Drosophila melanogaster: one gene and its partners. The protein of the gene in region 3 interacts with the protein of the main gene of each other region in a pairwise test. Each region holds a gene or a part of one and is shown on either strand. Other genes may lie near its edges.

Evidence for each region. The genes of interacting proteins can lie anywhere in the genome.
Region 1: the proteins of CG9933 (region 3) and Acox3 interact in a two-hybrid assay, tested with the Drosophila melanogaster proteins (one large-scale study listed by BioGRID).
Region 2: the proteins of CG9933 (region 3) and Idh3b interact in a two-hybrid assay, tested with the Drosophila melanogaster proteins (one large-scale study listed by BioGRID).

What each region holds. Positions count from the first base shown.
Region 1 is NT_033779.5:6,443,253-6,451,103, reverse strand, and holds Acox3 (Acyl-CoA oxidase 3), read left to right. Parts: upstream 1-3,241; 5' UTR 3,242-3,254; coding exon 3,255-3,497; intron 3,498-3,668; coding exon 3,669-3,803; intron 3,804-3,863; coding exon 3,864-4,354; intron 4,355-4,430; coding exon 4,431-4,908; intron 4,909-4,972; coding exon 4,973-5,243; intron 5,244-5,307; coding exon 5,308-5,462; intron 5,463-5,526; coding exon 5,527-5,817; intron 5,818-5,874; coding exon 5,875-5,985; 3' UTR 5,986-6,034; downstream 6,035-7,851. Other genes in the region: retm (real-time), read left to right, coding at 90-411, 972-1,252.
Region 2 is NT_033777.3:22,014,574-22,022,557, reverse strand, and holds Idh3b (isocitrate dehydrogenase 3b), read left to right. Parts: upstream 1-3,373; 5' UTR 3,374-3,524; coding exon 3,525-3,566; intron 3,567-3,730; coding exon 3,731-3,778; intron 3,779-3,841; coding exon 3,842-3,934; intron 3,935-4,461; coding exon 4,462-4,578; intron 4,579-4,635; coding exon 4,636-5,217; intron 5,218-5,339; coding exon 5,340-5,570; 3' UTR 5,571-6,167; downstream 6,168-7,984. Other genes in the region: mitofilin, read left to right, coding at 1-158, 292-765, 826-974, 1,038-1,733, 1,836-1,856, 1,950-2,108, 2,166-2,454, 2,521-2,698; Theg (testicular haploid expressed gene), read right to left, coding at 6,469-6,731, 6,798-7,017, 7,079-7,178, 7,252-7,730.
Region 3 is NT_033779.5:13,017,128-13,023,956, forward strand, and holds CG9933 (uncharacterized protein), read right to left. Parts: upstream 4,186-6,829; 5' UTR 4,052-4,185; coding exon 3,104-4,051; intron 2,800-3,103; coding exon 2,671-2,799; intron 2,603-2,670; coding exon 2,549-2,602; 3' UTR 2,448-2,548; downstream 1-2,447. Other genes in the region: Ube4B (ubiquitination factor E4B), read right to left, coding at 1-534, 702-929; CG9932 (uncharacterized protein), read right to left, coding at 6,196-6,829.

The DNA of each region.
Region 1 (7,851 bases), 6.6 Mb from region 3:
GGCTGTCATACATGTGCTCAGTCCAAGCCAACAGCCACGGAGCCTGCCCACCAGAAACTGCTCTAACGTATTGTCCTCTTTCCACAAAGACCATGATTCACGAGGGCGGACTGGTGCCTAAGACGTTGTACAAGATGAATTCGCTGGAGGATCACGACGACGAAGTGACCGCCGAGCTGCCCACCACTGCCGCGGCACAGGCTTTGGTTCCAGGCAAGCGCCTGTCTGCCAACCAGCAACACGATCATCGCAATCTGTACAAGAGTGTGGATCTCAAGGCCGGATTCGCGCACGAGCTGCTCATCCGGAACGAGGATCCCAAGAGTGTGCTCACCTGGGACTTCGATGTGATGCGCAACGATCTGCACTTTACGCTCTACCGGGTCACCCAGGAGCTTCCGGAAAAGAATGGTGAGTTAATAATGCACTTACAAAAGGTTTTCATGTTGCTTTTTGTTTTTCTTTTGTTCTGAGAACTGGTTTTGGTTTCAAAGGTGCGAATATCACGATGTTGTTGCCTCATTAGAAGTTGTTTTTGTTTACTTAGCACTTTTATAAAAACACAAAGCCACGATAAAAAGCGAAAAATGCGGAAAGTGGAAACTCTTACACCCTTTCGAAAAGAAAAGAAAATTTGTTGTCAGGCAACTTAAAAACAAATTAATAACGTTTGGCTTAAATTGAATAGTTTACTATTACAATTAAGTATTAAAACGTATGTTAATTTGTGTATATATTTATTTATATAAATTTCCAAGGTATCTGTTGCTAGGGCTCTATTAAATTGATAACGCGCGCATTTTGGTTCCGGTTTATTGATAGGGATTGCTTTTCATATGTGTTTTGATAATGTAGTAAAATACGAAAAAGTTGAACCTTATTTTATAAAGCTTTTTGTACTTTGAACCTTTTAATTAATTAACTTGATTAGCTTGACAGCTTACATATAATTAAATGCCCTTCGCCCACAGATTCCGCCGTCTCGTACTTTGATCTGCAGGACTTCGTCGAGGGCGTCAATTATTTCCGTGAGGAGCCAACGCTGATTTGCCGGCACAAGGAGAGCGTCCAGGGGTCGCACGTGATGCATCACAACGACAGCTATCTTATGCACTGGTTTAGTCCATCGGGTGCCCAGTTAAACGTCTTCTACGAGGTGCTCAGCTCGGCCAACTACAAGGGTTCGATGACCAGCCTGCAGTCGGCATTCTCATCGAACTCGTCGGCGGCCAGCTCGGTGCAGAGTCGATGATATGAGAAAGCCGGGGATGGCGGAACGAACGGCGCCGAATGGAGATCCCCGGCATTGGAGGAGCCCATAGCGGCGGACATTCTCACGGGCACCCTGATGGAGAAGAGCCTGAATCTATTTGAAACGCCGGACGTATTCTTTTAAGACCGAAAGTGGTAATATCTTGTGTTTTAGTTGTCTTTAGTTGTTTAGCAGAATGTTAGTTTGATTTTAAATTGTATTTAGCTCAAATAGGCCATTTATTTCCTTTTAAATTTATTATATTCATTCAATATATACAAGCATTCATATTATTGATAATCTTAAGAAAATTAGAAATATCAGCGGTTTAAATGAGCAACACCAAAATATCACGCAACGTTTTATTTGAATCGTCAATTTGAATTTTTCGTAAGCAGCTCTATAAATGAAGTTTTAATGCGTACATATATATGTAAAAGCGACGTAATTTTTATAGCTTTTTCTAATGGAACATTTTTTAGCAACAATTAAGGAACTTATTGCGATTGCGCAGCCACTGAAACGAAAATAGAAAAAATTGAAATTGTAATCAATAACTACGTGTTACCTAATTAGTTTAATAAACAAATTGCCGAAATGGCTTATTGCAAGGATTTTAGCCAGAACTTATACAAAAGAGTGAAATGTAAGATTTGAACTCGAAATACACACGTAGGTTATAGCTAGACGTCAGATTATAATTATAAATGTAAAATTGTATTTTAAACATTCGAATGCAGAACGTTTTTGATTGCACACTAATTACCCCGTCATTTGTACGCCCTTAATTGCTAATATCAATCAATCTCCAAAGTGTTTTTAAAATCAAAAAAGGCAACTTCAGTGTGTTTTTTTGGTTATTATTTATTGTATTAAAAACGAATTACTATGCGGATGTTTACAATTTAGTTTTATAAATAATCTGACGTGTATTGTAAGAATAAACTGACAAGCCAATAACGAAGGAAAAATGAGTGCATGTTAACTAAGTGTGTAAGTTGTATTAAGAACGTAATCAAATAAATGCTATTAGATCAATTACATGTACATATTCGCATTTTATTGTGGGCTCTTGAAAAAAATAAACTATTCAACAGTTTTAATTAAAATCAAATTTAGAATCCATGAAAATTGTATGGTATGGATATGGATGCTCTTTTCATATTTTAAATGTGGATTGTAATGTTTTTATATATATTGTAATGTTTTTATATAACAAAATAGATAAAATTAGACCAGCAAATGACTCGTTTCTGATAGAAAGAATATTCAAATTACGCGCCAGACCTACTATTCCAGCCCTGGCTACCTTGAGAAGGTCTGGCAACGCCCCCGCTAAAACATTTTGTGAAAACATTGAATTGTGATATTAAAGAAAATTAAACATGAAATTTATGTATATTATGTATAATAATTAAATAATTATATTATATAATAATTAACAGAATTTAAAAAACTTCACATTTTGTATTTATATAACACCGTTCTTTCTCATGGCTTAAGTCACGTCAAACTATGTTATCTTCAATGGTGAAAAACTGGGTTAAAATTGTTTGTTTATCGCGCTTGTTGTTGGCTGATGGCTGATAGGAAATTAAAGCAATGTTTGTGGCCGCTAAAAGATTCGAATTTCGCAGGCAGCACCCACCACCACCTGCACGGGCCGCCCTAATCCCGCATTCTCCTAGGGCCCGTATCTTATCCGCGGCGGATGCAAACCACTAAAAGGCTACTTGGCCATGAAGTGCGGATAAGCGGATTCCTTCTTATCGCCGCTGGCCATTGGACATTGGCTATTTTACCAATAATAGTTACGAGTGCCTGGACTTTCAAGCATTTCGCGCCTAGCATTCGAAGCAGCCAGACCAGTCGCTAGAATCGAACTCCAACATGGTTGCATTGAGCACAAAGTAAGTACCCCTGCCCCACAGCCCCATCGCCTCGACTGACGACCACAACGTCCACCAATCCAACATTCCAACAAGAGCCAGTTCTCTGGGCAATGGCGAGCGGAGTAGGCGATGGCGATGGTGGTGACCAAAACGGTCTGAACTCATTACTAACCGCACTGGGCGACTATTACAGCGGCCGCCGGGAGGAGAAGGCTGCAGCCAACATCTACGATGACAAACGGATCTTTCCCGACTTCCGTAGCGGACCTTTGGAAGAGTACCGTGAGCGGGCTAGCTTCTGCTACAAGCGCATGAACGTGGTGCTCGAGGGCGAGGATCACATACGGCTGAAGGTTCGTTACCATTTCCAGTTTGTTACATATGTACATGGTCAGCGGGGTCGAAGTGCAGACTGCCTCGATAGCTTTTGTCGGAGCTGCAGGCCGCCAACCGCCCGGTCTAATCGTCGCCCGTTTCTTATCTGCACACTTGAGTAATTCGTTTACATGTCACTCCGTCTTTAGCACAAGGTGTGGCAATGGATGGAACAGCACCCCGACTACCAGCGGGAGCCAGGATCCGATTTGGAACGCACCCGCGAAATGGCCAACAAGCGGCAGCATCTTCTGTGGGAGCAACAGTTCTACGGCGTCAACGAGGTAGGATGCGTTGCGTACTCCTGAAAGTGTGGCTGCCTAAATCTCCTGTCTTTCTTTCAGTATCTTGGAACCCCACATCTTCTGCTTGCTTTCGGACAGGCCATCTTTAGCTACGATTTCAGCACTTCGGTCAAGTTCGGCCTTTCAACTGGCATGTTCCCCAGCACGCTGGTCTCCAACGGATCTGGCCGCCTGGGCAAGTACGTGGCCAAGATCGCGGACAACCGCATTTTGGGCGCCTACGCTCTCACTGAGATTTCTCACGGCACCAACGCGCTCGGCATGCGCACCCGTGCCACCTACGATGTGAAAAGGCAGGAGTTTATCATCCACACGCCAGACTTCGAGGCGGCCAAGTGTTGGGTCGGTAATCTAGGCAAGACTTGCACGCACGCAATCGTCTACGCCCAGCTGTACGTGCCGGATGACAAGCACCAGGGCCTGCAGGCCTTCCTTGTTCCCATTCGGGACGAGCGTACATTGCTTCCATTCCCCGGCGTAACCGTCGGCGATATGGGCGAAAAGATCGGTCTCAATGGCATTGATAACGGGCAAGTACTTTCTTCTATCAGTTGATAAAACTAATCAACAGCAACAGAAATAATTTCGATTTGTTTGGCATTGCAGATTTGTGATGTTCAACCAGTATCGTATCCCTAAGGCAAATCTGCTGTCCAAGACCGGTGACATCGATGCGCAGGGAAACTACACCAGTAAAATTAAGGACGAGCGTAAGCGCCTTGGCGCCTCCTTGGGTGCCCTCTCCGTGGGTCGCGTCAATATCACTGCTATCACGTATGTGGCCTTGAGCAAGGCTGTGACAATTGCCACTCGCTATGCGGCCAGCAGACGCCAGTTTGGCCCTACCAACAGCCCGGCGGAGTGGCCCGTGATCGAGTATCAGTCACAGCAATACCGACTAATTCCCCACTTGGCCACCACAATCGCCTTGCGGGTGGCCACACTCTGGATAGGCAAAGAGAACGTGGATTTGACCATGAAGGGCTTCACTGGCGAGGACACGTCGCAAGCGGGCATGGAGATCCATGCGATCTCATCGGCACTCAAACCAGTTGCCACTTGGGCTGCCAGGGATGGCATCCAGGTATGAATGCTTTATATATGTATATAACCACTTTTACTTATCGGTTATATTGTTTTAATCTCAGGAATGCCGCGAGGCCTGTGGCGGTCATGGCTATCTTAAATCTTCTGGCTTGGGCGAACTTCGCAACGACAACGATGCCAACTGCACCTATGAGGGCGAGAACAACACGCTCATCCAGCAAGCGTCCAATTGGTTGATCAGTCTGCAACGCAACAATGCCGACTTCGTGGCAGTTTCCCCATTGGAGACAGTCTCCTTCCTGAAGGATATGGACACAATTCTGCAAAGCAAGGGTCAGGAGCGAACTCCTGCCGAAGTTTTGGATCCGCTCAGTGAGTATTTCTTAGTTATCCAAATATAAGATAGGAATAACGCAATTTTATTGCACTTCTATAGATCTACTTAATGCCCTCAACTGGCTTACCGTCTGGCAACTGGATACGACGGTGAAACGAGTTGAGGAACAGCAGCGCGAAGGAAAGGATGCCTTTGAGACGAGGAACAACATCCAGGTCTTTGCCGCCCAGAAGCTCTCCATTATCTACGGCGAGGTGAGATGCCAACCCTCTAAACCCCAACTAAATAGTAAAATAACCAAGTTTAATATTCTTTTAGCGCACCATCTACTACGTGTTTTATAAGTTTGTAATTGGTCTGCCCGACTCTGCTGAGAAGAAGGTACTGCAGCAGGTGCTCTCCTTCTATGGCGCCCACTTGGTCACAAAGTACTCCGCTGCTTTCTACCGCGGTGGTTACTTCCGCGAAAACTCTAACCAACTGGAGCTGTACGAACAGGGCATTCTGGCTCTGCTTCCCCTGCTGAAGAACGAAGCCATTGCTCTGGTGGATGCCATTGCTCCCACAGACTTTATTCTAAACTCTCCTCTGGGCATGAGCGATGGAAACGTAAGTGGTCTACCATAAGCAACTGCTACTCTTACTAAAGATTCTATCCTTTCGCAGGTCTACCAGCATCTGCAGCGCACGCTTGTCTCCACTCCAGGTGTCTACGAGCGTCCTCATTGGTGGCGTGATGTTACCTACAAGGATTACCTTAAGCGCGCCAAATTGTAGACTCACTGTAAAATCCCAAATAAGAAGACTTTACTCGTTGAGTTTTTGTAAGAAACTGATTTTATTTGGAAATATCTTCGGTTTAAATAGGTGACATGAGAATCGCATCTTAAAGTAAATGGCCTACGCAGAGGCCTAAGTAAATAGTCCCCGCCTTATCGAGGTCCCACGCTCGGGCACATCTGCCTATCTTGAGCGGCGAGGACCTTATCTGTGGTCTCCCACTAAGGGACTATTTTAGGAGGCGGGGAACGATCTCAAGTGACTGACTCATGTAGTGTGCACTTAAATTACATGTTTTTGAGCAATGCACCCATGTCGCCTTAGATAACAAAATCCTAAATATAATTTATCGCTCTCGATTCATTTACATAAGATATGAACGGAGCCCAAAATTGTAAGTCTTTAAATATATTCGTGTTCATGTGTGAACATTCTGCCAAAGGGCCAGCAAGCTGAGATGTACATTAGTATATTAGTTGCATTTATAACAGTAGTGGACTGTATTTATTTGATATATGTTCATTTATTTTGCAACTAAGATTTCAATGGGCCTAGTTTTTCTGGCTTTTAATTTTATTGGATTACAATTATGGTTTATATTATTTTTAATTCAACAATTTGTACTCAATTAACTTATTTTAAACATTTTGCTTTTTCTATGTAGAAGTACATTTTCTATTAAACAACGATATAGTGGACTGTATATTTTTATTTGTTATATTATTTTATTGTTTATTTACTATTGATATTTATAGTACTGGCAACGGACCTGCAAAGGTTATTGCTTGCATTCTTTGTTGCACAGCACATTTCCGTATGAAATATATTATTAATACTATCATTAGTATTAAAGCAATAATTAATCCAGCATGTCCGGAAATATGATGGAAATGTAAATCTTTCAATTTTTGATGGTTCTCTTTCATAAATTTAATTTCATTATTCAATCGTTCAAATTCCTCAGTATGATTTAATATTGATAGTTTCAGCGGATCCCAAATAATCTTCGGCGCTTCACTAATTTCTCCTATATAAGGTGTTGATAATAATTCTTCACTTTCGGACTGAATGTTATGGTGGGCAACTAGAATTTTATCGTCGGTTCTTGCCGTACAATATGGCGCAATGCTTAAAACTCCTTGCTGAGGCAAATCAAACAATTCAATTTGAGAGCCAGTACATTGCAGACGGACTTTTGAATTCGCAGGAACCTTAAACAACCAACTACTTTTCTTTTCTAACTCTACCCAGTAACTTTTAGAGTCGACTACTGTTTTATAGATGCAGTTCGCCGCTTTATCTGGCTTTAGAGGCTGAATCTCACATGCATTATCATTCGCTGAATTCCAGGGCCAACTTCCTTTGCATATTCTCTTATTTAGTTGCCATTTCTGACATTGATTTAATGTGGCTTCCGTCATTATGTGATAGGAATCTATCTCAAAATTATAAATTAAATATTCGGACGTTGTATGCACCATTATTATCCGATCTTCATTTCGAATTGGCACCGGAATAAGCCTGAACAATTTGGATGGATGCCTGCTAAACAGAGGCACTTTTGCACTAATGATCAATTTATCGTCGATGAATAAACCCCTGGCTGTTAACAGTGTATACACTTCCTTAAGTTCCGTACCTGACCGTTTTCCTGGAATTACTAGGTTCTCCGAAAGACTCTGCTGAATTTTGGCAATTTCTTTTTTAAGCTGATTTGGCCTGAGAATATTTGTATTTAGCCTACCGTGATTAATATCAATCAACAGGCTTATAATGCCTGCTTGAATTTTTTCGCCTTCTTCAATCAATGAGTGTAGCTGTTTCGTAATCATAAAGAATTTTATTGATTCCTTATAAACATAA
Region 2 (7,984 bases), on a different chromosome or scaffold from region 3:
CAGGGCAGGCGGCAGCAGGAGGAGCAGGGACAGCAAGGCGATCAAGGATATCAAGGATACCAGAGCCTGCCACCGCATATGCGCGAAGCTGGCTTCGGCAAAGTGGTCCTCTTCGTCTCACCACTGGCAGCTGTCGGCGGTGTCATCACCTACGCCAAGTAAATAGAGCCACAATAGAGGTTTAAGATAAGGATAGGCAGTCCACCTGTAGATCAACAAAAATTCGTACACATTTTATTGCACCTGAAATGCTTAAATGAACCATCGAATAATGTAGAAATCCTTTTCCAGATACGACGACGACTTCCGCAAATTGGTGGAGAAGAATGTACCCGGCGCAGGATCCGTCATCAAGGTGGCTCTGCAGGAGGAACCGCCATTCAAGGGCATCACCAAGAACGTCAACGATCAGATCGATAAGGTCAAGTCTGGCATCGAGACAGTGACGTCCACGGTGGACTCCGTTACATCTAAGGTGACGGGCCTGTTTGGCGGCGGCAGCGGCGATGACAAGTCCAAGAAGTCCAAAGTGGAGCCCGTGAAGGCCACTCCTGCTGAGGAAAAGAGACCCTCAAAACCAAGCGAAGTCAGCAAGACTGAAGCGAAGCCAGTGTCGAAGCCAGCAGCAGCAGCAGCGCCTGCGCCCGCTGCCAAGCCTAAGGATAATCCGCTGCCCCGCGATGTTGTTGAGCTGGAGAAAGCCATCGAGCTGTCTGCTCAACTGGCCGTCAAGGAGTACAACGTCGCTATTGGCGTTTTGAAAGGGTGAGCAATTCTCGTTAACTATTCGTTGCGTGATTTTAAATTTAATCAAATATCGTTCAGCTTTAATGACGATGTCCGTAAGGTTGTAGACAAGGCCGTAGAGAATGGAGAGAACTCTCTTTGGACCACGCTGAAAAATCGAGCAAGTGCCCGTGATACGGCAGTGGCTACGGCAGAGCGAGCTGCCCGTGAGGCTCAGGAGAAGATTGGTAAGTCCATTGTTTGTTAAATAGATTCCAAATTTCAGTAACATTCCCTTCTATCAACTGCAGTCGCCTGCGAGATCGCCCTGAGTGCTGCGGCAACGGCCCAAAACGCAAAGAAAGTAGAGGCAGTGCGCGACAAGATCAAGAAGCTTGTGGACCACATTGGCAACGTAAAGGACGAGCTTTACCGGCACAAGGACACGGCCAGCGTGTCAGACAAGTACTGGCGGAATGTGGAGAAGGCGCGAAACTACTTCATTGACGAGATCGAGTCTATCTTCCCCGGCCTCAGTTTGGCGGATAAGAAACTTAATCTGTCAAAGGAGGACCTAGACTTGTTCATCCTGCACGCCTACACCCATGTCCTGGCCTACCAGAAGGAGCTGCAGCGCTTGCAAACCGATGGTGAGCTGCGCCTGAAGAGAGCTATTGACTCGGTTCGCGGTGACAACGATTCGGAGGCTTTGCGCGCCCAACTGGAATACCATTTGGAGGCCGAGCGGCGCAAACTGGCCGTGGAAAATCAAAAGAAAATCTTCCACATCCACGCCGAGTCTGATAAGCTGCTGCGCTTGCAGCTCAAAAAGCAAGCAGAGGCCCACGCCGATCATATAAAGGACATCGTGGCGCAGCGGGAGACCGATCTGACGCGAAGCTTTAAGCGTGAACTTGAGGATAAGCTGGCGACCGAAAAGGCCAACTATAAGTTACAATTGGCCGGGATGCTCGGCAAGCTGCGCGGAATGGACGCGGCTCTGGCAGGTAAGTTATACGTTTTAAACGATATCGGTTGAATGTAGCTAGTGTAGCGTGGCTAGATATATAATGGTTTTCAAACCTTTTCAAAACATGCTGCTATATTAGAGATAGAGGATGAGTTTCAAGGTATATTCACCCTATATGAAGGGTAGTACTTATACCAACTTATTCTTGGTTTAATCAAAATGTTTATTGACATTATATGCAACATTTTTGCAGAGCGTGCGGATGCAGAGCGTACTGCCAATCAGGCGCAGGCCCTTTGGGCCGCCTGCCAAGCTCTGTGGGCCTCCGTGCGCGCTGCCACTCCTGGCGTGCACTATAAGGATAGGTTGCGCCCGTTAAAGAACGAGATCAATGCCATTGCCAAGGTGGCTAGTAAGTTGAAACGTTTCCCACATTTCGATTTCAGTTGCTAAATGCATATGCTTACAGAGGGTGACGACCTGGTGGCCGCTGTGCTGGAAAGCGTCCCGAAGGAGGCTCAGGAGCGCGGTGTCTATCCAGAAGATGCATTGCGCGAGCGTTTCCTGAATGTGGAGCGCGTGGCGCGACGATTGGCTTTGGTGCCCGAGGAAGGAGCCGGCCTGCCCATCTACTTCCTGTCCTATCTGCAATCGCTGTTCATCTTGCGACCCGATAATCCCATATCCAAGGACGAACTCGAGAACAAACCCTTCGACTATAGCAAACTGGACACCTACGATATCCTAAACAGGGCCAGGTGAGGCGATTGATTCATCTATCACTAGAGTTATATAATATATATTATATATATTATGTTTCACAGGTACCATGTGGATCGCAGCGACTTTCTGCAGGCGCTCAAGTACATGAATCTGCTGCAGGGTGCATCGCGCAAGATTGCCGGCGAGTGGATGAAGGAGGCTCGCCTCATGCTGGAGACTCAGCAGGCGGCCAACACCTTGATGGCTCACGCCGCTGCCAGCGGACTATTGTATTTGTAGACTACGTCCCGTGTCCCCTTCCTTCAGAAACAAGATGATACACTTACTATTTGTTATTAGTCCAGGAGAAGATGGTACGATTACCAACAATATGTAATTTGTCCAATTAGCGATCACAGTTGAAACGAAATAGCACTTATATACATATATTTGTAACATTTTGTTTAGCTTCAATTATACAAATTAAACATAGAAACCATCATTATAAAATCCAAAACATAAATACTCTGGGAAGATTTGTAAAAAATTCGATACCAAGGCATGAATGGAATATGATATATTACTAAAGCTGAAATTGGCAAGCTTTGTGTTTCTGAAGAACAATGTGATTAGGCCATAAATAAACATAAAGAACATCCACTTGTTGTTTAATTTAGCGAAAAAAATTAATATAATAAATAAGTTGACTAAAAAGTATGCTGAATGTCAAAATTCAAATAAAATGCATTGGCTAAATTTAATTTCTCTGTTCTGAAAAGAAAGCATGGTAGGCAAGGCAAATGTATTCAAAAACAGGTTACTATGCGGTTGCCGCCAAATTTATTCCTTAAATAATCGTATATGTTCGTTACTAATTTTCGAACGCCAAAATCGCGATAGTTGGTCGTTAGCCAGCACTGGACGCGCCAGTTTCGTGGGCGGCTATCGCCAGCCCTGGTAGTCAGAGGCAATCAGCTGGTTTGCGTGGTCGATTTGGTCCTATTGAAATTTTTCGGTTTGGCACCGGAGCAAAAATCACATCGCAATCAAAAATTTCGCGTGGCCAAAGGACACACTTTTGAGTTTGGATCAACAGCCGGGAAGATCTAGCTAACCGAATAGCAAAATGTCGATGCTGGCGAGAACAGTTGGACGGACGTTCATGCAGGTAAACGGCCATCCAAACCGCAGCTCTTACATAAACACTTGCTCGCGACGCGCTGTGCGAATATTTCTGCGCTGAGGCCTAGTTCTTATACGTTTCTTTTTTTTTTTTTTGAGGTTATAATCCTAGCCAGCCTTAACGATTACATTGCATTCTTCTCGTTTTAGGCTGCGGCAGCACGTAGTCTGCACACCACGTCGACGCTACGGGCTACGGTGAGTGTTAAATGCGCTTATTAAGTGGCACCAGTTGTAACCGGAAAATAATTGGTCTTGCAGGATAACTACGGCGCCAACAGGACCACCTGCACACTGATTCCCGGCGACGGTGTGGGTCCCGAGCTGGTCTACTCCCTCCAGGAGGTCTTCAAGGTAGCTAACCATCCATCAAGTTGCAATCATTCACATACAGTATTCCAATGCGTCCTAATTCTTATAAATCTATACTCTTGCGTCTCTTGATCTCTCTTAAAAAAAAGGTTATTTAAGCTTAGGATCATTGCCAGCTTGGTTTCCTATTTAATAGAAAAGCTTTTTTTAAGCAAGTCGGCGTTTAGTTAGTTATGTACATATTTCTAGAATCTATTAGATTTAAAAAGCACAGGGCTCTAAAAATTAATTAATATATTTCACTCTTCACAGAGCGCATTGTATTTGATAACACTTCCATTTTTCCCGATCACGAGTGTTTTTATTATATAAATCAAAACATCAAACTTATCTGTATCGTAAAGATATGTGATAAGTGGCTGCTACTTGAAAATTTTAGTAGATTTCGGGATTTCCGTTTTAACTGAACATACATGTTCATACGTGCGACTAAATTAAAAAATGCTATGTAAATTCTTTAACTTTTCAAGCCCAATCAATATGCATAATTATCTTATCTTGTCGTTCAGGCAGCCAGCGTTCCCGTGGACTTCGAGTGCTACTTCCTTTCCGAAATCAATCCCGTGCTTAGTGCCAAACTGGAGGATGTGGTGGCATCCATTCAGAAAAACAAAGTGTGCATTAAGGTAAGTTTGCAAGAAAATAAAATAGTGTGATAAAATCTAAACAATGTGCTCCTTCAGGGCGTTTTGGCCACACCCGACTACAGCAATGTGGGTGACCTGCAGACCCTTAACATGAAGCTTCGCAACGACCTGGACCTCTACGCCAATGTGGTGCATGTGCGCAGCTTGCCCGGTGTCAAGACCCGCCACACCAACATCGACACGGTGATTATTCGCGAGCAGACGGAGGGCGAGTATTCGGCGTTGGAGCACGAGTCGGTGCCCGGCATTGTGGAGTGCCTGAAGATTATCACCGCCAAAAAGTCCATGCGCATTGCCAAGTTCGCCTTCGACTATGCGACGAAGAATCAGCGCAAGAAGGTCACCGCCGTGCACAAGGCGAATATCATGAAGTTGGGCGACGGTCTCTTCCTACGCTCCTGCGAAGAGGTTTCCCGGCTCTATCCGCGCATCCAGTTTGAGAAGATGATCGTGGACAACACGACCATGCAGATGGTTTCCAATCCCAACCAGTTCGACGTGATGGTCACCCCCAATCTCTATGGTGCCATTGTGGACAATCTGGCCAGTGGTCTCGTGGGCGGTGCTGGTGTCGTTGCTGGTGCCTCCTACTCCTCGGAATCCGTCGTCTTTGAGCCGGTAAGATTCGCCATAAAGACATAAAGATAATCCATAAGATCGTGATTTACACGGTTCTCGAGCCTAGCTGTGCGAATCCACTTCAGACTATTCTTATCTCTAATACCGATTTCCGATTGCAGGGTGCACGTCACACCTTCGCCGAGGCCGTGGGCAAGAACGTGGCTAATCCCACTGCCATGCTGCTCTGCGGCGTGAAGCTGTTGCGCCACATCAACCTGCCCACCTACGGCGAGATCATCCAGAATGCCATCAACAAGGTGCTGAACGATGGCAAGGTGCGTACTAAGGATCTGGGCGGACAATCGACCACGCAGGACTTTACCCGCGCCATCATCCTGAACATGTCCTAGATGGGCACCACTGTCATCGCCGGCATCGCGATCAGCAAGTCTACAACATCATGGGCAACAACGTTGGCGCTTATATAATCGACATTAGACAGTTTCTGTTGTTGCCACAGCTAAATTTTGAATTGTTGAAAGAAACACCTTGAAAGTTCTTAGTTATCCTATTACGTCCAATTTTTTTTATTTGTCCCGATGTCTTCAGTGCATTCATTTGAGTATTATTTCCGGCGAATATTTAAGTTTAGTCCAATTGAAACGCCTGCAGACCCGCCCCGAATCCAAAAGTTGCGAATTCTTTAGTTTTACCAATTGGCAGTAATACATCGATCCTTGATTATGTTGTAATTATTTACGTATTATTTCCCCCCCCCCCCCTTTTTGATTTCGCAAAGATGCTAATTTACGGTCGAATTATATTTTATGTTTAACCCGTTGAAAAGCAAAACAAAAAAAAAAACCGAAAACAAATGATATTGCTAAACCAATTAACTGATAACGGATGGCTTTGAGTGGACCCACTCCACTGGAGCTGTGAGAAAGATAACAATAAACTCAAATCTAAATTAATTATTATTTAAAAGCCATTGTCAGTTCCGAGCTGTCTAAATTTTAAGTAATACAAACAAAAGATAAAAAAAAAAACCCAAACATATTTCTCAAACTTTTTTTTGACTGGAATGAAAGGCCAAAGGAGATTTCATCGCTATTCCCAACTCCGGCGCCACTTTCACAGGAAATCCAATCCCGTAAAGAGCCGGAAAAGCTCTAGTTGTTTTTTAAAAAACCAAAAACAAATTTATTAGAAAAGTCGATACCAAATGTAGCCGAAATGAAAAACTTAGAACACCAATAAGGACGGTAATGATTATCCAGACGCACAGTCCACGTCCGTCTCCAATTATTATCCACCCTTGGGCTTGGCCAACTCGATGAGGCGTGGCGAGGCTTTGGCCTTCAGAGCCGCCGGCGATATGGCAAACGGATTCTCCCGGATATGCGTGTTCTCGAACTCCTTGGGCTCCGCCAGCTCCTTGATCCGCGTGCTCGCCTTGTATTTGAGCGCGTTTGGCGCGATACCGAATGGATTCTCCTTGACATCCGCCAGTCCTTGGTTGGCATCGCGCGTGGTAAGTGGCTCGGACATCTCCTTGATGCGGGCACTCGCTAAGTGAAGCAATGCCAGGTGCTGCATTATTAAAAGATCAACTAAATTGGAGTATGTGTACTTACGCTTGTAGCGAAGGGCATTGGGCGAGACCTTCTCCGGATTCTCGTTGATGTGGACATTATCGCGCACGACGGGCTGCGATATTTGCTTGATCCGCTTGGTCGCCTTGTAGTCCTTCATCTGGGAGGTCAGCTCCCACTTGGGTTTGATCTCCTCCAAATAGGCCTTGGGACTGGCCAGCTGATTGAGACGCACGGGATCGAACTCCCCAGCTCCACGATCCTAAATGAAATGGGGGATTATCATCAGTTTTTAGCTGAATTTAGTTTTTTTTTTAACTTACCGGTTTCGGGACCTTTGGTGCTTTCTTTGGTTTCGCCAACTTTTCGATGTACTTCTCGTGCTTAGCCAGCTGCTTCTCCGTCTTCTTCTTCTTTTTCTTCCTGCAAGCACAAAGGATAATGGGTTTATAAATAATAATGAATGAACATAAGATAGATAGATATATTATCTTACGGCTTAACCAACGGCTGGATATTCGTGAGACGACTGTACAGCGATAGATAGCTGTAGCGAAGCCATCTGTTCAGTATGGACTCCCCAATTGAGTCGCCCGCCAGAATGGCCGTTCGCCGCCTGTGAAGCAATCGACGGACCGTGGGCAGAGCTAGTTGCTCGGTGCGTGTGTGATTCTGGGCGTCACATGGTCGCACCATCTCGATGGACTTGGGAAATGAGCAGGCGCATTTCGGCACAAAGCGGCAGGTGCGTCGCCTGGGTATGGCCATTTCCATCAGACGCCGCCGCTTGACGAACATGCGCTCGTGTCGGCGCGTCAGTTTGTCCAGCTCCTGGCCAATGTCCCTAACGAAGCACTCGGCATCGTAGGGAATGGGGTCCCGGATGGGACAGCAGTCCGGACGGACGCAGTCCTTCAGCTGCAGACAAGTGGTCACCGTCGGGCTGAGGTCACACTTCAGTCCTTGGATGGTCATTCTGTGGATTTCCGAATTTTGACGCACTACTTTAAACCAATTAATGCTAACTTTTTTATTCGCTTATGATAAAAAACATCTACGATTATCTGAACGAGTTGAAAGCTAACTTCATCTGGAGAATTTTTTGTGGCAACTAAGTACAGAAATTTTGGAATTTGACAGCAAATGAAATGCATACATTTTTCGCTATTAGACAAGATTTTTTAATACTTACCTAAGCTGGAATTTTAATTTCAAAATTAAGCTTTATC
Region 3 (6,829 bases):
CTCCATGAGCACATTGGCCACAATGCACTCGAAGTCGAATCTGCGGTGTGGCTGCTGCTCCAGGAAGCTGGCACTCTGGGCACAAATGATGGACCCGCTACCGTACTCATTCCACGTGGCATTCAGTAGGCGGGAGAGCAATTGTTCGTTTTGCTCATCCGCACTTTTTTTTGGACCGACTACAGTTTCAATGGACAACTCGGCATTTCCAGCGGATATCTTGCAACTCTGCAACACACTCCTTTTGGTGGCCTCGGCTGTTGGCAGGCTGAGCGCTGTCGTCATATCCACATCTTGCATTGGTGTCGAGACCACCGACTTCATCTCCACATCCATGTCCGGTTTTCCGCTCAGTTCCCTCCAAGCGGGCGCCGAAGTGGGCAGCGATACCTCCTTTTCGCCGGGCGTGGCCTCACGTACCAGTCGAGACTCGCCAGAGACGTTGGTCGGCTTCCGTGGCGTAGTAGTCAGGGGCGCCAGGGCACACTGGATGCCACTTCGGGCAGCCAAAGTCCGAAGACGACGGGCGCGCATCTGAAAGAATTAAAGAGGTTAGTTCACCAATTTAGCTGTTACCAATTAAAGTATATCATAGTTTAAAGTTCGTTTTCCTTTTACAAAATAGTTTACTTGTATTATTGATTTAGATAACTTTAAATATGATATTTTGTTGCTTCATTAAGTTTGCGAAAACGATATACCTCTTCTGCGGATAATTCGGTGACCACCACAGACTCGGCCGGCTGTTGCGGCTGCACATCGGGGTTGGGTTGCTCAGGCAGTTGCTGACCGGGTATCTCGCCCTGCGCTAACTGGGGCTGCTGATCCTGTTCGTGCTGATCCTGTTCGTGGTCCTGATCCTGATCCTGCTCCTGATCATCATCCTCCTCCTCCTCCATGGGCTTTTGTGGCGGCTCTTCTTCCGGCATTTCTCGGATCCGCTGGTACTCTGGGAAACAATGCGCAGTTGTGCTACCAAATCTGTTTTCGCCTCTCTCACTGTTTTTGTTTGTTTGTGGCGTAGTTTTTCCGCCGCTTCTTCTGATGCTGCTGCAAAATAAGAGGCGATGATGTGGGTTAATGAACCAAACAAAAGCACGCGCACTCGACAAATAAATAAAATAACAAATAAAGAGAAAATTAAAACAAAGTCCAGCGGTCAACGTCAAGTTCACGCGAAGACAATGCCGCCATCGCCAAAACCAGATGGATTGGCCGTTTCTCTTTGTGCTACGCAACTACGCACTAGATGGATGATGTGCAGCATAGCTGGGAGCATACCAGGACAACTGACCTGCCGCACACAGTCAGTGTGCGAATCAAAAGCGGACGCAGATCGGCCGAGGTTGACAAAAAGTGCACGGCTGCAACTATTTTTAGAAGAGGATTTCTCGAGCACTGGCGCTGCACTGCACCCAAAACAAGTGCAGTAAACAATATCATAACATATGCGGAATCGGATGGCGAAACCTTATATAATGTTTAGGGATAGCCGATCGAATAGGATCGGATCGGCACGGGATATCACCAGCTCATTTGCGCATTTGAGACGGCGGATAAAGTACACAAAATCGTGGGATATATAATCGGACATAGGTTCGATGTGAGGGTGTGTGAAATACGGAAAATCGAGGATTGCGCCGCACATATATTCGCACTTACCTGACTCTACGGACCGACTTTCACCTGCTGCAAAACGTATTGGTTGTGCTACGGCCCGTAACTATTGCATTTTACGGAACTCTATATGGTTTCGACAATTCACCCGAACAATTCCACGTCTGGTGGTGACCACGCAAAAAATTTCTCTTTTGTTCTGCGAGCTTCGTGGGGATTGGTTATCGGCCCTCGGCTGGCTATATCTATGTGGGGATCGCCCGAATGCGATCCGTATATCGACACAAATGCTTCACTGGCCAGGCGATGGGCTCAAGAAATACAGACCTCCGAACTTTCCTCCAATTGAATTACTTATAATTTTTGGGTTTCGCGTCAGTCGACGAACAGTGTTTCAGTTTGGTCTGGTGGCCGACAGTCACACTGGCCGCGGCGTGGTCACACTTAAAGATGGAATGTTCGCCGATAGTTGCTTTAACCCTTGCAGGGCCCTCATATTTTTATGATTTCATTATCGAATTTAAAATTTCGTTAAACATCCGAAAAGTTGTGAATCATTTGAATACTATTTGTAATTTTAAATTTGCACTTTTGTTTTTGCCTTTAATTGCAATAATGTTCTCTAAGCATCTATACCCAATTTATATATCCTTTTTGCTCTAAGAGAACTAGTTTGAAAATATCTGAAACTATTGTTTGTTTGTCGTTTGAAAATATTTAAATATCGCTGAATTACTAGGTGCGAACTGATTAACGATGGGAAATCAAAAATTAGGCCTACCAAAATGGTTATATTCCTCATGACACATAATGAAAAGCAAGTGTTGTTTAGTTATTTTTGTTCAACAAAAGAAAATCATTTACTTCATTTTACAAAAATGTTACAATTATGTGGAACCTAATTATGAACCTAATACCTAAGTAACCGCTACTAGAAATCCGTGTATCGCTGTCGCAGACTCTGCCTTTTGGCAACGTGATGCATCTGCAAAACACAAGCATTTGAATTACAAACTGGCATTATATGTGGTTTTAATTAGGATAAGGACTAACCAAGCGCTGCTGACGTCGTTCTCGATTCATTTCGTAGGCCTTGAGCAGCGAGGGGCACGTGCGCTTGATGAACTCCTCCGATTGCCAGAAGAGTCCGCCTTGGTTCTCGTAGCGCAGAAGGAATTCAACCTGCAAGGATATTAAGGTTATTAAATGATACCTACAATTGGGATAGAGGGCAAACTACATAAGATTCAGACTGTTTAAAAGTTTTCCTTCGCTTTACAAAGTAAAGAAAGCTGATCTTTGGCTTATTTATTTTGTAAAAGCAAAAGTCATATAGCAAACCTTTTCCAGCTTAGAATTTTTGTTTACTAAATATGATATGAATAAACCAACAATGTGTTGTAAATGAAACTGTAATCGAATTCATAGAAAATTTGTGAACCCTAAACCGTACTGATAGTTTATTGCTTTCGTATTGCAAACGTACCTTTCCCGCCTTGGTCTCCTTGCCCAGAATGCGTTCAATGCCATTCTCGGGCTTGATGCGTCTGAAGAAGTCCTCGTCGTTGTACTCGGTGACCACCTCCTCGCCGACTTCGTTTAGCATATCCTCGATGCTGAGCAGTCCATCCTGCAGCCGCTCGCCGTTCTGTTCGACGCGCTGCACGTATGTCAACGGGTGCTGCTTGAGGTAATCCTCCGCCTCGGCGATTGTCTTGGCCAGATCGAACTCCTCCTCCGCCTCCTCCTGCTCATCGTCATCGTTGTCCTCGTACTCACCGTCCAGCTCCATGCCATCACAGTTAGCGCCGCTGGGCGAGGAGGTTCGTTTGGTATGCATGGAGCGTCGCTTTCTTTTCATCCAGTTCCCGCCGTCGTTTTCCTTGACGTCCGGATGGAAGCGTACCTTCTTCACGCGCACGGACGACGAGGCGGAATCTGTTGTTTCGGGGGTGGACTGGCTGGGTGTCTGCTGCGACTCCAGCATGCTGCCGCTGATGCTACTAGAGGCGGACGTGGGTGTTGATGTGGATGTGGATGCTGATACGGAGGCGCCGGTGCTCTCCGCCAGCGTGGTTTCCTTGAGGTTCTGTGATATAAGCTTGACTTTCGTCTCGAAGGCAGTGCATGGAGATGTGGGCGATTTGCTGGCCGGATGTTCTGGTGGGGATTGACTGCTCTGCGGACTGTCGCCCTCGCCGCACGACCCCGCCGCAGCTTCAGTCTTGTGATCCGTCTGCTTGCCGGCTCCCTCCATCGAACCGGATTCCTTGTTAATCGATTCCGCAGCGGAATCCCTGCTGCAGTTGTCCAGATCTCCGACTGTGGAGTCTCCGTCGCCCGTCGTCGTTGTCTCCACCATCACACACTTGATTTGCATAGATTTGTCCAGCGAGTCACTGCCAGCCGAGTCATCATTGGACTTGGTATCCATGTGTTTGGGTGGCTCCGTGTTCTCTGCGTTGGCTCTCTATCGTTTTGCGGCTCTGCTAAAGTTCAATTTTAGCTAAATGCATCGCAATTCATTTGTAATCTTTCAACAAAACGGCTTTCTCAGTGTTACCGTACCGACAACTATGAAATATACCCTCAAATTTGCGTAGCTGACTTGGCAGCGATTGTGAAACGATTGGAATTGCAACAGGGAGCTAAATAGTATATATGATTTTATATTTTCTTTGGCTCTTTTGATTATTTGGAGAGTTATTATTTAAGTATCTCAGTAAGAGTAATCTGGAATAGCATTGCATATCCCTTTTTGATTATTATTATTTTTTCTTTAATTAAAAGAAAAAGAGTAAAATAATCTTTTGTTCCACATTCAATCGTTTCACAGAGTTGCCGTATCTTGAAAGTCACTTTTAAATTGATATACCGCTATACCGTTACGCAGGCTACCTTTCAAATTAAAATTCCGTTAAAAAAGAATGCTTGATTTTGATGTTTGATTTCAGTAAAGAAAAAAGAAAAATGTTGAAGTGCTTTCAATTTAATAGAAGTCAATGAACTATTTTGCATTATGATTTGAATTTTTAGAAACTACTTTTGGCGTTTAGATCTGAACCCAATTATTCGATTTCTTTTTTAAATAGAAGTACCAAACATACAGATAATCGGTCAATTGTAAATGCAACTTGTGTTGTTTTTATTTGATTTCTTTATTAACAATTGTTTTTGTACATTTTCTCTTTTGTAATTCAATGCCGTAAATCTTATTGTGTGTTTGTGTGGTGTGTGTAAGTGTTGCGTGTGGTTGTGTGCGCAGTAAACAAAACTAAGTTATTTACACTAGCTTTAAGTTTAAATGTAGTTCAATGTTAAGGACTATTTAATATATAATATATTGTGTGTATAGATATTCGTATCGATATAAGATGTATATATGCATATCAAAGGCGGTTTGCATTTATATCCAAGTTAGATTCTGTATACATATCGCTTGTTTGCGCTATATCTTCTGGTTTTGATTTGCTTTGTTTTCAAATGTTTCCTTGCATTAAGTTTAAACTATTTAAATATGGCCCCGCTATTCCACATGTGTTCTTTTTGTTTGCTTATAGTTTAATGATAACATTTTGTTTGTAGTGTTAACGCCTACACTGTGCTACAAAGACGCCGTTTGCTGGAAAACATTCGCACTAATGATGAGAACATAACTAATCCGTAGTAGAAACTAATTACTATTAACTAATTTTAAATGTGTGCTGCACTTGTACAAAATAATATTGCAAATATTGCAAAAAATTCCCTATTCTCTGTTGATTTTTCAATTGCATTTTAAATGTGTTTCTTTTTGTTTCTATAGTTTTTATTTTTGCAGCAGCTGTGTGTAAATATATATATATGTATAGATTTATATAGTATGTATATAGTACCATATTCATTGCATGATATACGCGCTCACTTTCTTATTTCTTTTTTTTTTTGCATTTACAATTATCAATAATCACAGTTCCCATTCGAAAAATTAAACGAATTATTTGTAGCAAGACATAATTTTGAATTTATCTCTTTTTCTCCTGTACAAAGTTGATTTCCTTGAAACGCTTTTGGATCTTGCTCGGATTGGGTTGGTTTTCCAATTTAATATATTAAGCCGATGGTAAATATATATATATAGGTTCTATATTAAAATGCCTTCTATAGTTATCTCTTTGATAAGTTACAATACGATTAGTTTAAATTACATTTTGCACCGTTCTAGCAAGTAATTACATTAAGAATTCCGGCTTATCCCATTTGCAAAGTATTCGAATAATGGTATTTCATTCCTTTTTTGTTTATAAATTATCGTTACTTAATTACCTTAGGTTCTAGAAAAAACGTAAAAGTGCAGGAACATGTTCCAACTAGGTGTGTATAAGTGGGTGTGTGTTAGTGACAATAGAAATCCCAAAACAGGTGCCTAAAACGAATCCCCAACTCCACTAACGCATACCCAAAAAAAAATATGGAAAAGCATAAGCAACAACAAAATATTAACAAAACCAAAACTCACTTAAATCGAAAAATAACCATAAGCTTAGTTGGATAAATTATGGATTAAATTAAATAAAAGGTTCGACCCTTGGATGTGGCCTACTTTCTGGAAATGACTTTGCCCGTCTGGGCATTGACCAGTATCATTTTTTCCGGTGTTGCGGGTCGCTCCTGGCCGGAGGTGGAAGTGGCGTCCTCCGACTGGTTGGCACTTCCCCGAAGGATCCTTCTGCGCAGGCGATCGCTGATATTCTCGCTCTTCTGGGACTCTGAATTGGCGCCCTCATCCTGGGAGAGCTTCACACTCAAGCCGCCATCGTTCTTGTACAGAATCAACTTTGTGCTGGACTTTTTGGCCGACGACTCCTCCATTCCCTCGACAGCTGGCTGTTCATCTGGGCCGCTGCTGCTTGGCTGCTGTTGCTGCTGCTGCTGCACATTGGCGTTCATCACATTGTCCTGGTTGTTGTTGTGCTCGGTCTGCTCCACCTTTGAGTCAGCGGTTTCTTCCGGTTCCCGCTCAACGCTGATCTCCAGCTGATCGTAGCAGGTAAAGAACTCCACGGACTTGAGCTTCTCACCAGCATTGAAATGCAGCGCCGTGTGCTCCTCCATTTCCGCCTCCTCATTGGCATTGTAATCACAATGGGCACATTTCTGGCAGTTCGGAGGTGGAGGATTTACGCAGGCGTGCTTCTGTAGATGCTGCATCAGCTCCTCGTGCTGCTGCGTC